Linked DNA regions of Rhinolophus ferrumequinum. The protein of the gene in region 1 interacts with the protein of each later gene in a biochemical or structural test. Links are inferred from orthologs where the notes say so. Each region holds a gene or a part of one and is shown on either strand. Other genes may lie near its edges.

What was found. The genes of interacting proteins can lie anywhere in the genome.
Region 2: the proteins of DSG1 (region 1) and PKP1 form a complex in vitro, tested with the Homo sapiens proteins (2 studies listed by BioGRID and IntAct). The link is inferred for Rhinolophus ferrumequinum from reciprocal best matches to the Homo sapiens genes DSG1 and PKP1.

Annotation. Positions count from the first base shown.
Region 1 is NC_046302.1:26,214,284-26,222,282, reverse strand, and holds the start of DSG1 (desmoglein-1), read right to left. Parts: upstream 3,071-7,999; 5' UTR 2,805-3,070; intron 2,719-2,804; exon of another isoform or gene 2,221-2,718; 5' UTR 2,136-2,220; coding exon 2,088-2,135; intron 1-2,087. UniProt on the Homo sapiens protein: Component of intercellular desmosome junctions. Involved in the interaction of plaque proteins and intermediate filaments mediating cell-cell adhesion.
Region 2 is NC_046310.1:1,013,654-1,021,603, forward strand, and holds the start of PKP1 (plakophilin-1), read right to left. Parts: upstream 3,043-7,950; 5' UTR 2,787-3,042; coding exon 2,585-2,786; intron 1-2,584. UniProt on the Homo sapiens protein: A component of desmosome cell-cell junctions which are required for positive regulation of cellular adhesion.

The DNA of each region.
Region 1 (7,999 bases):
TGGATTTACCTTAAAGATACTACCAGTTTAAGTATCTTAAAGGTCTTTTTGACCTTTAAGAATTGTCCAAATATGCTCCCTACTATACATTTTCACTTATATCGACTTTGGGCAGAGAATCTAAAGACTTTACATGGGTTTGTTTGTTTGTTTGGTGAAAGTAAACATTCACAGTGAGGATAGCAGAAAGGTAAGTGGAATAATTTGCTATCGTGGTGGTTAATTTTCAGAAAAAAATAGTATTTTAAAGCACAAATAGACTGCATAACTCCAAAGGACATTTATCCAAATCATCTGGTAAAATCAGGAGTAAAAATAAATTATGATTTTCCAAACCTTAAAAAGTGAAATGTTTTATAAAAAAAGTTATGATAATGTAAAAATGAAACATTTTAATCATAGAACAAATTCTTTGAGACATAATTTTCATAAGGCATATGAGAAACTTGTTATTGATTCGAAAGTAAAATATGGCAACAAACAAACAATCCACACAAAACAAAACCTATCCAAAAACAGAAAATAAAATACAAATGCCCAGAAACCTCTCTACAAAGAGAGAGAAAGTGCAATAAGCATACATGATTTTGATAAAAAGATACATTTTACTAAAGAATGACTAATTAGAAAGTGGCTGATTAAAGGGATTGTATAGGATGTAATTAATTAAAAATAATCATAAAAATAATGAAATAAGGTATCCTATAGATTCAGTGAAAATACGTAAGCATCAGAATGAACTTTAATCAATTGTAACTAAAATAAGCTTTAATGCATCAACTTTATATGAAATTAAAAATAAAAGTGTTTGTTTATTTCATGACAGACAAATACTCTTATGTTCAGATGACATACTGTATAATGCTTATTAATCCCTGCCACATCGCAAGTTATAATATCAATTGATCCTAAAGACCCATTAAAAAGTCCATGGAATAGGGCTCATGTTTAAAGGGTAGCTTGGAACTAAAGCTACCAGCTTATATGATGCTCATTTATAAGTAAATCCACTGGTAATGACCTCTCTTAATTAATAAACTGAATTCAAACTAACCAACATACCACATATCAAAGATCTAAGTTGTTATTATAGAAACCCAACAATCCAGTTCCAAAATTAAGCAAGTAGAAACAAATATGAACCACAGCACTATATCCTGCCAAATTGGATCGTGATTTAACTGGCATTTGTCTCTTTGGATTATATTAACCTTACTGTGAGACTACAATTTTAATATTTTTGACATAAGTGAAATTGATGCAACACATTGGCGCTGCACTTAGTTTTATCTCTAAAAAGAGAACTAATAACGTGTAAGGGGGACAATGATAAAACATTTCATTACATTTGTCTGACATCAACGTACAACTTGCATATCAGTCATCACTGATTTTCCATTAGTAAGGACGAGTATTGTAATAATTATACTTACTTTTTAATTATAGCCATTCCTTCACCTACTATGTTATTTATAAATCTCCCATACTGCCATTTTTTTAAATAAAAAAATATCATTTTAAATAAAATCATAGTTTAGCAGTGCGGGGCTTTCCGTATTAGTGGATCCCAACCACATAAGAAAACAATGAGATTATTTGGATAGTGAGGCCAATCACAAACTGCTGTGATTTTAATTTTAGGGATCCTATTTGTATATTTTAAAAACTACAGTGAACCTACCAGCAAAGATACCAAAAGAATGAAAAAAAATATTTAGGTTAAAAAAATCAGGACACACCTGTAATATTACTTTAAAAGCCCACCTGCAAAAGGGAATCTGAACAGCAAAGTGCTATTAAATAGTGATATGACTTTTTCATATTCAATCTTTTCCCAGCATGACTTAACAATGACTTCGATTTCACAGATGTGATATGATGAGTTGACACTTATGCCTTAATATGATCTTGAGTCTTCAATTAAAGAGAGAAACACTATTTAAACATGTAGTTCATAAAAATTACCTCGTCATTAACATAAACTTTTAATGGGTTTAGATTAGAAATAACAAGAAATGACATTTTCTAAAATGTTCTCACTTTACAACGAGAATGATCGTGGAGGATTTTCAACAGAATCCACTTACCAGAAAAATGAACAGCACTGCAGCTGTTATAAAGAAGTGCCACTTCATCGCTGCTGGGTTCTCTTACATCCAGGACCAAGGGAGTGTTGTTTGTTCTTCTCTGTTCTTTTTCTTTCCCCCACTCAGCTGGTGTCTGATTAAAATAATTTCTCAGTAGATGTTCTTACATGCAGGCTTTGAGGTGTTTCTGCCTTCTCTGGGAGAAGGACCGAAGGTACGTATAACCAGTCTAGATCCCCACCCTAAAAACTTGGGCTGGTCTCACTAAAATGCTTGACAAGATCATCATTGCTCCCAGGTAAAAGCTTAGGGACACACCCTGCTTCCAGCTGAAAGGTAACTCTCTGTAGGGCATGGAAGATTTACTCCTTTTCTGAAGGTTTTTAGTGGCAGGTGTTTAAAAAGATCAGAAGTATGGAGAATTATACAATTGATAAGGGCTTTTCACCCTGTGCTTTATTCACAGGTTGTTTAACTTCTTTGCATATTAAAAAGGCAAGTGTAGTCTGGATGCTCATATTATTCAGAGGATTATCCGGCCTATGCTCATAGCCAGACACTCAGGTCACAGTAGAAAATTATAAACTTTCCATTTCAGTGGATGTTAGGAAATTGTCATTTTCAAAGTGTCCTTTGAGAGACAGAAAATTTGCCAATGTTAAGAATGAGGATTTTTAAAAAAGTATTAATTCAAACAAGCAAAACTATGATACTTACAATTATAAGGTCCTCTGCATGTCACAGTTCCCTTTAAGTGACCAGTCTAAGTCTGAGGAAGTCTCTATTGTTTTCTCTAAATGAATATCTTCTCTTCCCCAACTAATTTTCTCTCTTTAAAGTTCTGCCCTTTTCAAGTGCAGTAATTTTTTTTTAATGTCGCTAAGTCCGATTAAAAGGAAACAATCCAAATCTCCAATTAAAATCCTGTTGCTAATTTATAAAAATGAGAATCAGTGCCTGAAATACTAATGGAACACAGAAAGCTACTCTTCAGGTGAGGTGGGTTAAAAGTCAGCGATGATTCCCAAGCACAGAGCCAAGAATCTGTATAGTGAGCCAATTAGAACATGGGGAATACATTGAAGAAACTGCTGCCCACACATGCAAATGGGAAACTGAGCAGCCCTGAGGTTTGTGAAAATAATTAGTGACTCTTACAAGGCATCATTTGCTAGTGTTCTTGGGATATGCTGTCTTCACCTCGCAATGTCTAGAGTAAATATAATGAGTGGCAGGAAGACTATGGAGTTTGAAATGGCATTTTGAAACAAAAGACCTATTGGATAAGAAGTTGATTATGGCCAAAAAGTTGCCAAAAATATCCCAAAAAGGAAGGATATCTCTGAGGGCAGAGCTTCTACGGAATGCTTTCATTTCACTGTGGGTGTGTGGCAAAGAGGGCTGGCTACTCAACAGCGGTTTAAAATTCCATACTATTCATCGTGGAGGTAAGGAGGTAGGCTTCCTATATTTACTTGCAGTGAATATGAATGTGTATAGTAGGAACCGGCTGATATGAATAAATAAAATGAAATAAGATGGTCAGGCCAAATTTCTCATTGGTTGAGTAAAATAGAGAGTGTTGACCTATGACTTAATCTGAATAATATATTCGTAGTAAGATTGTATGACCATGAATGACTGAAGACTCACTGGACACCAGAGAAGGAAAAAATCTACTCTTGCATCTTTCCAGTGGCAAGTGAGTGCTTTATCCACTTTGAATTCTGGGCATGGCACTAGGGTGTGCACAGGCCCTCGTCACCCATTTAATGACTCTCCCCCAAGCCCAACCTTGGCTCCACCCCAATTCAACGTCCTGCTCCAACAATCCCAACCGACTAGAGCATGTATAAGGCAGCCACCTCTCTAGCACCTTTCTGAGCGGAGGTGTGGCTGAACCCCAAGGTTGTAGAGCAGTGGCTATCTTGACCATCACATGAGAACTAGTGACGTTAAACACAAGTGGGAAAGGGAGTTGATGAATCACCTCTCCTCCTCCTTTACCTCTTTCCCTGCTGTTTTCTCTTGCCTACTCATTTTAATGTTCTCAGTGCAGCGTTGTGGAATGTGGAAATGTTCTCTATCCGTGCTATCCAATATTATAGCCACTAACCGTATGTGGCTATTGAGCATTTGAAATGTGGCTGCCATGATTAGAGAACTGAATTTTTAACTTTTTTTGATTTTAATTAATTTAAATTTAAATAACCACATGCGGCCAGTGGTATTGCACAGTGCTTTTCTCTTCTATCTCATTCTGTGCTTTAACTTTTTCTATTCTTTATAAATTCAATTCCTTTTCTCAATTGAGGGAATTCTAGCTTTGCTCCAGTTTCCAATCAGCACCTTTTGGTTCCCTTTTCTTTATGTACTCCTATTATCTCTGTTGGTCCAATCCTTTTTCCTGACTCTTTACTGATCCTATTTCCCAATGCTAGTGAGTTAGGATACTTTAAAAGATAGGCAACACAAACCCCTCCATATTGTGAATTTCCATATTCACATTTCCCAGCCACCTTATCTGTAAGTTCACACTACACTGTCACATACCTGTGCTACACAAGTTTGCTCCTTCAGGCTGGTCTCATGCCCTGTTTCTACTCTGAGCATTGTTTATTAAAAATGTAACTCCACGTGCATACCAACAGTTCTCATTTCATGGAAATTTTATGAAATTTGGGGTGATTTTTCTGGTTGGAATTTCCCTGGTAAACTAATAGATTTTCTCACAGGGATCAAGATTTTTCTGGGAAAAGGATGTTCCTGTCCTTCATAAGGCTCTGCAAACTCTAGAATATCATCCCACGTGTCTACGTTTCTGTATCTGTTCACAGCTGGGGATACTGTAATATCCTCTTGAAAGAAAAAAACAATCAGCATCTTTCATGAAAGGTGATGGATTTTACTGATCTGGATTAAGTCTAATTAAAGTAACTGACTATTCTATTCTCCTTCACTTGCATAGCACCCATAGCATAGACTCATACATTTCATAGAAACCCTTTGGAATATGCTTTTATGTTACATGTAAACCTCTGGTTTCATGAGTGTGTCTAAATTACCCTAATAAGCTCTACAAATTGTTTAAAAAATAAGTGAAATGTAAAAATAAATCCCAAAAGTAGAGAAATTGAGGTAAATATATGGAGAATAATATAAACAATTTTTTTTTGTATTTGCCACTATATTAATGTTCCTGTGGTATGTATTGAGTCCAGATCTTGTTTACATTATTTAAAATCAGATTATTCCTCAACGAGTCACATCTGGAGGATGGAGGCTGCTGTTTTAGAGTAAAAGAGGCTTTTCTTTTAATATATAACAATCAAATGCAGTGTCTTATCCTTAATTGGATCCCTGATTTGAACTAAATAGCTATAGAAATAATTTTGGGGATACTTAGAGAAATTTAAATATTGGCTGTTAGGGAGTTATTATCAATTTTAGTACATTATGTAGTAATAGGTCTTTATTTTTAAAGATACATGTTAAATTACATAGGGGCAAAACCTCATGACACAAAAGTTTTCTTTATTCTAATTCAGCAATAAAATAGATGTAAATATAGCAAAATATGAACAATTATCAAATCTAAATGGTAGTATACCTCTCTGTCTCTCTCTCTCTCTCTCTCTCTCTCTCTGTCTGTCTCTCTGTGTCTCTCAGTCTCTCTGTATATTTGACCATTTTTATAGTAAAAGAAGAATAATGGACTAAAATAGTGGTTGGCAAGTTATAGCCATTGGCTAAATCTGGCCCACTGCCTTTTTTTTTTTTTAACACAACCATTCTTATTTGCTTATGTGTTGTCTATGGCTGCTTTCCCTCTACAACAGCAGACTGAGTAATTATGACAGAAATCATGTGGCCTGTAAAGCCTAAAATAATTACTTATCTGGCCGTTTACAGAAAATGTTTGCTGACCTATTAAATGAATAGGTTATAGTTTGTCATACAAAATATGACTTGTTAGTGAATTAGTCAATCTTAGGAGAGTCTGCAAAGTTGATTGAAAGAGTGAAGAGAAATTATGATGACTAGAGCTACCATTAAAATTAAAGCAATTAATCACTGAGGAAAAGACACATCTTTATGATCAAATTATATTTTTAGTTTTATGTTTTCAGAAAGACGTTATTTAATTGACTAGAATGATCTATAGCCTAACTCTTCTTCCTTTCTTTTAAACCAGATTTAAGGAAAACCTTAATTTTATTTCTGTCTAGTCAGTTCTGGGATAAGAGTTCAACAACATCACATCTTGAAGTGTTTTTCTCTGTACAGAAAGAATATTCATAAGTGGGGAAAATCTCAAATGATTTTGAGAACATTGGACTCTATCTTAATAATTAAATTGTGTATGATAAATAAGAGTAGGGAAACAGACTAAATTATTACTGTCTATTCTTTAAAAAAAATTCTAAGTAAGCATCCCCTGCATGTTCATTACTGTCCTAGATGCTGCAGTACATTCAAAATAACTTTGAACTCTGCCCTTAAAGAGGTTACATTATAGCTGCAAACATACTGAGATAGAAATATTACTACTCCTTTCTGGAAGACTGTTCTTCACATACATCTATATGTATTAGCTACCACCCCAGTGACCCTTATGATTGCAAATGCAAATTCAATTCTTCCTTTTTCTATATAATAAGTTACCATTGGTTCAGTTCTAATTTTTTCTTTGGCCTACCAAATGCCTTGCATTATACTAGAGACTGGAGTTATAAAGATGGATGCATCATGGTTCTTGCCCTCAAGTGGCTCCAGGCTAGCTGGAATGAGAAACACAGACTTTCCCCCAACTTGCTAAATGGAAGCATGCATAGAGTGCTATGGGAATCCTTAGCCCAGTTTTGTTGGAGGTGACGTCAGATAAATCTTATATAACAGGCCCTCAAATAATTAATGTCATTTTGTTATAACATTGATGAGATGCTGTAGGAACTTAACTCTTCTTTATACCAATTAACTGGTGGTAAAATTGATTTCATTTTATGTTGTCTTGCTTCAAGTTGCAGAACCTATCGATGATGTTAAGTGACGACGTACTGATGTTAAAGGCTACACCTTTATGACACAATAGAATTAATTTCTAAAATGTTTGATATTTTTCTTTTTTTTGTTGTTCCCCTAAATCAATTCACGCTATACTTTCAAATTTATAATCTACTTTAGTCTCAACTTTGCCTTTCTGTCTTCATTTCTGCTGCTAAACAATGTGATAAAAAAATATGGTGAGAGTTTAAATTGCAAAAAAAATTTATTTTGGTAAAATACATATTGCCATTAATCCCCCTCAAAATACTTCCCTTCACTTCAAACACACTTATCCCATCTTTCTTGCTACTTTCTGAAGCGGTTCTGGAAGTCTCTTTCATGAGTGTCTTTAGTTGAGCTGTCATGGCTGCCTCGATGTCCTGATTTGATTAAAAATGTTTACCTTTCATGGTCATTTTGACTTTGGGGAAAAGCCAGAAGTCGCATGGTGCCAGATCTGGTGAATAAGGTGGATGAGGACATACCATAATGTTTTTATTTGACAGAAATTGCCGTACCAGAAGTGATGTATGACACGGAGCCTCTCCGTTATGATCACAAAATAAGGTGAATGCTGCTGCTGAGTGCTACCCAGTGGAAAACCAGGGATCTTCAATATGGGGAGTGGCGAGTCAAACCTTAGTAACAGTGTGTGACAAGTTTCAATTTGTTCAGTGCAGTCAATCAGGTGTGAACTACAGTTATGAGAAGGTGCTGTAAATCATCCTCCATCATGACAGTGCTTCCTGTCACATGTCACTTCTGGTATATGGCAATTTCTGTCAAATAAAGACATTAAGGTATGTCCTTATCCACCTTATTCACTGGATTTGGCACCGTGCAACTTCTGGCTCTTCCCCAAAGTC
Region 2 (7,950 bases), on another chromosome or scaffold:
CTTTGTGGGTGGTGTGTATCTCAGTGGAGCGGTGGGGGTGGGGGTGGGGGGCTTGGGGTTGGATCAAATGAGATTTGGGTGAAGATTTAAGAAGGGATTCCTGTGAAGTTATGAAGAACCTGAGTGTGGGAAAGCAGTGCATCTGCCCTTTGCCTGGTCACCAACCCCTGCAGGGACTTCCCAGCCTGGGCAGGAAGAGCTATCTAAGCAGCCACACCCCTGCAGCCCACACAGTCTGAGGGGACACCTGTGCACACGAAAGCCCTCTGGAAACACAGGAAGCAAATGAGGGGCCAGTTCAGGCAGAGGGTCATGCGGGCAGGCAGGCTGACGGCAGCCTCCCTCTGCAGGGTCCCCAGACCCCAGACACCCTGTTCCCTCCGGTGCTTCCCGGCCAGGAGGGTGTGTTCAGGGAGGGCCTGCCTGGGCAGGGATGGGCCCTGGGCCCCAGGGTCCTTCCACGGGCTCATTCTTCAGCCCTCGTCACTCAGCTCCCCGTGACGGACAAGACAGAAGAGAGCTTGGTGGAGAGGGCTCTGAGGGAGAGCCGGTTCCTGGCTGTCCTTCACGGGGTCCAGGAGTGGGGGCCACCCTGCCAAGCTCCTGTGGGGCGTGGCTGGCCTTCTCTGGGGCAGGAGTCCTTCACTAAGGGGCCTGGATGGGACTCAGGGAGAAACAGACCCCACGGGACCTGCTCACCTCTCGTGGAGGAGACCGAAGCAGGATTTGAGTCTGTCTAGCAGGATGAGAAAAGGGCCTGGGGTGTAGCCCTTCCAGAGCCACCACGTCTCTGTCCCAGGAACCCTAGTGGGTACATGGGATGTCAACCAACTCGAGAAGGAGGGAAGGGAGTGAGTGGCCGCAGAGCCAGCAGGGAACACTCGGGTGGTTCTGGTGAAGAGGAGGCGAAATCTGATGAAACGGAGCCAGACAAACCAGAAGCACCAGCTCCAGCTGCCCAACCGCCTCTCCCAGTGATGATGCCTCTGGGGACCTGGCCCCTCTGGGAACCTCACCAGAGCTGAGTAGGGGACACACCTCTATTGTCAGGACAGAGACCCCGTGTCTGGAGAGGCATGCAGAGCCACCAGAGCCAGCCCTCACCTGGCTGCAGGCACTTGGCCGCTGTCCAGTTAGGTGGGAAGATGTGTTTGGAGCACCAATGGCTTGAGATTTTTCTGGAGCTGTGAGCCTGGAGCTCAGGCCAGAGATAGAGCAGGAGTGGGAGTGGGTCAGGTGAGTCTTGTTCAGAGAAAAGTGTACACTGGCTTTGGCTGTGACTGGGCTGTGGCCAGAAATGGGGCACTTTGTTGTCCGAAGCCTCCGTCCAAAAAAGGCTAGTAAGCACCTACCAAGGCACCAAATAGAAGAGGAGAAAGGGCCCTGGAGGCTGCATGGTCTTGAGTCTGGCAGAGGAGGAACCAGGAGCCCAGGCCAGGGCAAAGGGCGCGCGGAACGGCAAAGCCTGGGGGCTGGGAGGGCCTCAGCAGGGCTACCGGGGCGGGGGAGAGAAGAGGACAGAAGCCAGCGGTAGGGAGTGTGAGCTGGTGTGTGTGTGGTGGGAGGTGGGCAGGGCTCCGTTCCCTCCTCTCCCTGTCCTGTACCACCCCATCCCTTCCCTCTCCCAGGGGGGCCTGGTTGACTGTAATGGTTTGCGGCCTGCAGGGTCTTTATTAGTATTTTACTCAATTGAGCTAAGTAAATACATAAGCAGGAGGTTCACTAATCCGTGTGATATTACTACCAATCCTTTGTGTGGAAGCATTTGGTCTAAAAATTCTCCACAATCGTCCGTCAGACACTGTGCCGCCCTCCTTGAGTTTCAGGGATCCTACCCCTTTCTCCCAGCACCCGCCCCAGTGGGGGCACCTTGTGCGGGGGGTGGATGGCTGGTCAGGCTGAGGACCCACACTGGACACTGCCCCATGGGGGGGGCTGGATTCCCAATGTGCCAGCCTCGGTCCCCGCTCTCCCCCAACACACTAGCCCCACCTCAGCGAGCGCCATAAGCTCTATAAGGACAGTCCTATGGGAAAGGGAGCTTCTGCGTTAGCTCCTGGGGAAAGAGGGTCCCCAGGGAGCCCACCAGCCCTGGATGGCCTCTTCCAGGTGTAAGGCTCCCAATAACATGCTGCTGAGGCTCCAAGAGCTTGTGGTCCTGGGCGCAGACTGCCCACTGAAGGAACAGCCACTCCTGGGAAACACTCCGAGGGGTGAGGGCGAACCCTGGGGTCGCCGCCCCTGGAGGACAGGAGGTAGGGGGTTCCCGGGCAGGATCGGGAAGAGAAAGCCGCTGGGGCCCAGGGCCCCACACGAGAACAGTGCGCTGGAGAGAGCTCCTGGCCGTGTCGGAGGAGGCGCGCTGGTGCTCCCCGGTGCGCACTGACTCCTGGAACTGGTCCCCGGGTCCAGGCAATGGTACTGTCCGCTTGGGACAGGGCCAGGGGCTCTGGGTTCGCACCTGCGCAGACCCTGCCTCGGCCGGCAGTCCTTCGCTCTGCTGCAGCCGGGAGGTGCGCGCTCCGCAGCTCCCACCCCAACCCCTCAGGGGCGCGCACGTCCTGTGCGCGTCAGGTGACTTTACCTCGGTTGGAGTGGCTCAGGGTGGACGACTGAGACGACTTGGGCTTCTGCCGCTTCACCGTCATCATCACCTGCTCCTGCACGCGCTGCCTCCCCGACGTGCCCGTCTTCATCTTCTGGTCTGACGGCAGGGCCAGCGTCGAGTTGTCCTGCTCCTGGAAGCATTCATAGGCCAGGGCGGTCTTGAGTGGCGAGTGGTTCATGGTGGCAGACAGGGTTGGGGTCTGGACGGCGGAGGTGGCGAGGTGCAGAGGACAGCGGAGGGCTCTTCTCGCTCAGGGGCTCCCTGTGGCCATAGAGTGAGTGTTGGCGAGGGTTCCGGGCTGCTCCTGGCGCTTCCGCCCTGGCTCGTCCCTCTCCTGGCACTGGCGGGGCCCGCCCTCCGTCAGACTGGATATACGGCCCCTGCCTGCACCACCCACTCCACCTGGTTGTACGCTGCAGCAGCCCAGCAGGAGCTCCTGGGGGCAGGGCTGCGTCCTGAGTGTGGGACTGCTGTCTCTGCCTTTCTCTCCTTCCCGCCCCCCTACGCAGGAGGTGAGGCACCTGACACGCCCCTCTGTCCTGTTCCCTGCAGCTCATGGAGAAAGTATGTGCTCAGCTCAGGAACCCAGGGACACGTCCTTCTAGGAAGGAGGAGTCTTTCTGACTTGGTCCCCAGGACAGCCAGATGCCCACCTCCCTCTGTCCTGAGACCATGGCCAAGACCACCCACAGGTGGTGGCTCCCAGGCTGGTGACAGAAGCACAGTCCTCGTCCAAAGGGAGTGCTCCTTCTTGTGGGGACAATCTGTTCTCCTGCAAGGCGGCTTCCAGCCTGCAGGGAGTGGCATGGGAGCAACAAGCCAGACCTGGACCAGCCTTGAGATGCAAAACGCACAGAGCAGTGACCTGCCATGCGTGAAGAGTGGACCCTCCTGAGACTGCAGGCTTGGCCCCTAAAACACTGCCTGGCACATCGTAGGGGCTCGATGACAAATATTTTTGAATAGATGAATGAATGAAGGCTAATTTAAGATAAATTAAGTCTAACGTGAATTCTACCCAGATCCTTACCAAAAAACTCAGCCTGCCTCGCCCATAAAACTACCCCCTGATGGCCTCGTGTGTGCATTCTCTCCCACACACGCCCCTGGGGACACTTGCGTGGTGATGTGTCATTCACATAGCGTTGTCCTCAGGCACGGTGGTGGCCCACACCAGGCTATTTGGTGTGAGAGGAGCTGAGTTATTTTTTAAATGACGTTGATGGAAATCTTTGTAGAAGCAGCACACCCTGCCTCTTTAACAAAAGATCCTGAACACATTTCAGGAGCTTCGTGATGACGCTGGGTCCTCAGTGTGGACGTCTGCTCAGCTTTGAGTTTTGGGGGCTCCCCTGGCTGCATTGCGCTGGCACAGCTATCACTTCTGCTGTCATTTGTAGTCACTGCTCACAGCTCACACACTTCCCTTTGAGTTTGCCCTAATCTGCAGAGAAAGGGGCCGTCAGAGTCTAAGCTTGTTGCGCCTTTTATGTCGAGGAAGGATGGAGAAGCCTGAGTGACAGTCTCAGGGTCACATGAAGGTGACGCTCTCACTTGTGAGAAGTGGGTGTCATATGCAGGGAGCCCCAGCTTTTCCCCAGAAGGCATTCCTGGTAGCCACGTGCCAGACAGAATATTGTAAAGCTGAGTGTAGTTTCCAATAGAAATTGTTTTATAATTGAGGGTTGTGTTCCTACGCTGTCTGGCGTCAAATAAACCAGAGCTATGACCAACAATATGTCATAGATACAAAAAGTCAACACCTGTAACCCTCTCTCATCCCTTAAAATTGTAAGATTCTGCTTCCAGCCGTAGACCGTGAGGGCTGGTGGAGCCCTGGGCACCTCACAGCCCAGCTCTGCAGCTTTCTGACGGGGAAGGGAGGTCGCTTGCCCGAGGTCTCCAGTTAACCCATGTCGAAGCCTCCATTCTAATCAGGCCTATGACGCCTGGGCCACTGTTCTTCCCTGCAACTCTCCAGCCTCCCCTTTAAAAGTGCCATAAAATGTGCATTAAAGTGCCTTCATGCGGGTTACATAGGGGCCCCACTGGACTATAAAGTGCACATGACAGCACATAAAAATACACCGCCATTGTGTCACACATCAGGCCCATCCCAAACCTAATACGCGAGCTAACAATAAATGTTCATTAGGTCTTTAAAGAATGATAACTTTGCTTCCTTTAGGATGTAGAGTGGCCCTGAAGGAAGTGATCGGAGCGGCCCGCACTGCTATAAAAGGTCACACGGACACCTGGACACGGACCCTGAGTATCCTCAAATCTGTTGCCAGGTATGAATCTCAGTTTTTCTAGATGATGCTTCTCCCCTGCTCTGATATGGATGTAATTTGATGTGTTGATGGCCACAGCCGATGCGGCCGTGCCCCTGTGAACCAGGCATGGTGCTCGGTCCTGTGTACGGATCCTCCCCTTGGAATCCTGACAGTGACCCTGTGGGGTGGGGACCAGCGCCGTCATCTTTCCTTTTCAGATGAGGAAACAGGCTACGTGAGGTCACAGAGCTGGAAAGGGGCAGAAACCGGGCCGAGCACAGGCAGCCTGAATCCAGGGCCTGGGCACCCAGTGGCAGTGCCAGGCTGCTTCCTTGCAGTTTCCCAGTAACAGGCAGTGGGTCCCAAAGCCTTCCCTGAATCAGTCTTCTAACAGCACCTGTGTCCATCACATGGCATGAAAATCAGGCCACCTGGGTTCCGAATCCAGGTGTGTCACTAATAAGCTTCACGATGCTAGAACTCCCTTCCTCTGTCTCCTGCACCAAATCTGTGAGTGAGGAGATCTCATGGCTCCTACTCGAGCCCTGACACTCTAATTTTGATGAGGACGAATGGGTCCTAGTTCTCTTTGCCGCCTGCCCTACAGCATGAAGTGGGACCCAGTGTCACTCTCCACTCTCGAGGCTCTCAGTGCTCACAAAAGTAAGGCAACCCGTGACCCCACGGCTCGCTGGGGAGCACAGCCTGGATCCATTTACCCAACAAGGATGGATCAAGCATGTCCTGTGTGGCAGGCCCTGCCCTAGGCACTGGGACACAATGGGGAGAGGACGAAGTTTCTGCCCTTATCAAGTGTTTCTCCTCGAGATGGGGGAAGAGGGGACGCTGCCCAGGGAGGATGGCTGGCCCACGTGAAGGCTGAGAGGGGCTCCTGCTGCTTCTAAGCACGACCGGACAGAAGCTTCACTTTGCTCAATTTCCAGCCCTCCTAGGGGAGGGGACCACCTGTACCTGAACCCCAAACTGATGCAGAACCCCCAGGAAGCTGAACGAGGTCATCTTGCTTTATGGACCTCTAATCTTGCCAGCATAGCCCCACCTTATCCAGCCCAGTCGTCTGCCACTGGCCCCTGTTGCAGGCACCTTTGGATTTCCTGGACAGTGGCCATGGGGCCAGCTCCCTGCTGTGCAGCCGTTTCTAGCGGAGTTCTTTTGGTCAGCTAGCAGGCTTCCCAACGGCTGCCCAACTCAGGGACCTTAAAACCTTCCCTGAGGAGCCACACTGGCCCCTCCCCAATCTCTAAAGATCCCCCCTCCCATGTTTCCTCCCAGCCCGCAGCCTCTCTGGTTTTGCACATATGCCATTCCGTCTGCATGAGTCACTCGCAGTCACTTAAGTGTGTACCGAGTGCCAGGTCAGCTCCTGGGGGTGTAGCCAGGAAAAGAGACCAGGTCCTGCCCTCATGGGACTTCCATTCTAAGAGGGCAGGAGAAGAGCAAACTTGTAAAGGGGCTACTAAGAGGACTGAGAATTGTGTTCAGGGCTGAAGGGTGATGTTCCCTGTGGTGGTCAGAGCAGGGCATGCAGGCTGAGACCAGAAGGGTGAGAGGCAGCTGCCCTATGTGGGGGAGGCACTCCAGCACAGGGAACCGTGGGTGTCCTGGCCGTGAGCCTGGCATGTCCTCAGACCCACATACAGACCCGTGTGGCCTCCGTGGGAGGGGTGTGGGCACGAGACGGGCGCAGAGGCAGGCAGCATGCGCCGTACTGTACGACTTTCTGTGAGGGTGGCAGCGTCCTCTATCTGTGTAGCTATTTAAATCAGTTAAAAGGAAATGAAACGAAAAGTGCCGTTCCTCAGGCACACCAGCCACATTTCAAATTCCCGAGAGTCACACGTCGCCAGGGTCCCCCACTGGATAGCACAGGATCGCACTGGACCTTGGAGGCCTCCCTCGGGTTTGATTTGAAGATGGATGAGAGGCCATTGAGAGGCCTCAAACATGGGGTGACAGGACACTCCACCCCCTTCCTTCCTGCTTCTGTCAACTTGTCTATCCTAGTTTTCCTTGCTGAGGAACTCCCAAACTGCCATCTCCTGGGCCCTTTATAACTGGCACTTGCCGGTCCCATGTCACCAGTACGACCTGGAGCAGCCTGAGCGAAGGGAAGTGTGCGTCCACGCCTCTCTGCTCTGTCCACATCTCTGGCACACATACGGTGCTCGATCAATGTTTATTTTTTTGAGGGGAGTCCACCCTCTTGATCCGTCAAGGCCCCGTCCAGCCCTCAGCAGGTCGCTTGGACAAGTCGGGCTCAGTGCCTCCTGGTCAAGCCTCCGCCTTTCTAAAGGCCAGTTCCTCTGGTGACCTTCGACCTGTCTCCTTCTGGCAGGGACCCCTCAGGCACGTTCGAACCCCCCAGCCCATTTTCCTGAGAGGGTGGGAACTGGTATCAGGAAGTCAAATTAGTTCACTCTCGGTCCAGTCCCGGTTGTCTCAGGGGACCAATCAGGAAGCCATCTTCCCGAGGGTCTGAGTGAACGTGATTCTGCCCCCGTGGTGACTTCAGGACCCTGACCCTCGCCACCGCCCTCAGGGTACCAGGGTAGGAATGGACCAGACTCTTAGCCTGGCACCTGTTGTGACCTTTTGTCCCCAGGTGTGGGGGCCTGTGCAGGCCTCTGTGCCTGGAGAGTACAGAGGGCACCCAGAGCGGCTCCCAGCCATGGGTGAGAGATGGGAAATGGGGGGATGGGAACAGCAGCCGCCACTCCCCAAGCCCTTGGCAGATACCCCGATTGGAAGGTCAGCGCCTGTGACCCCGGGTCCCCTCTCCACAAGGCCTGGGGCTAGAGGCGGGCTGTGTCCTTCCATGCCCGCCTGCTGTGCTCTGGTAGGAGATGAGGGAGGCCTGGCTGTGGGCCGAGAGAGAGCAAAGGTTCCGGTTCAGCCTGGAGAGCAGGGCCTGGGTGAGTCCAGGGGTGGGCCAGCTGAGGGGCAAAGCCAGGGCCTGCACCTAGGCCTCCAACACGCCAGAACTCTCTGGAGCTGCCATTCTGGTCCCTGGGTGGGGTGGGTGTGGCGGTGGCCAGGGAGGGAGGG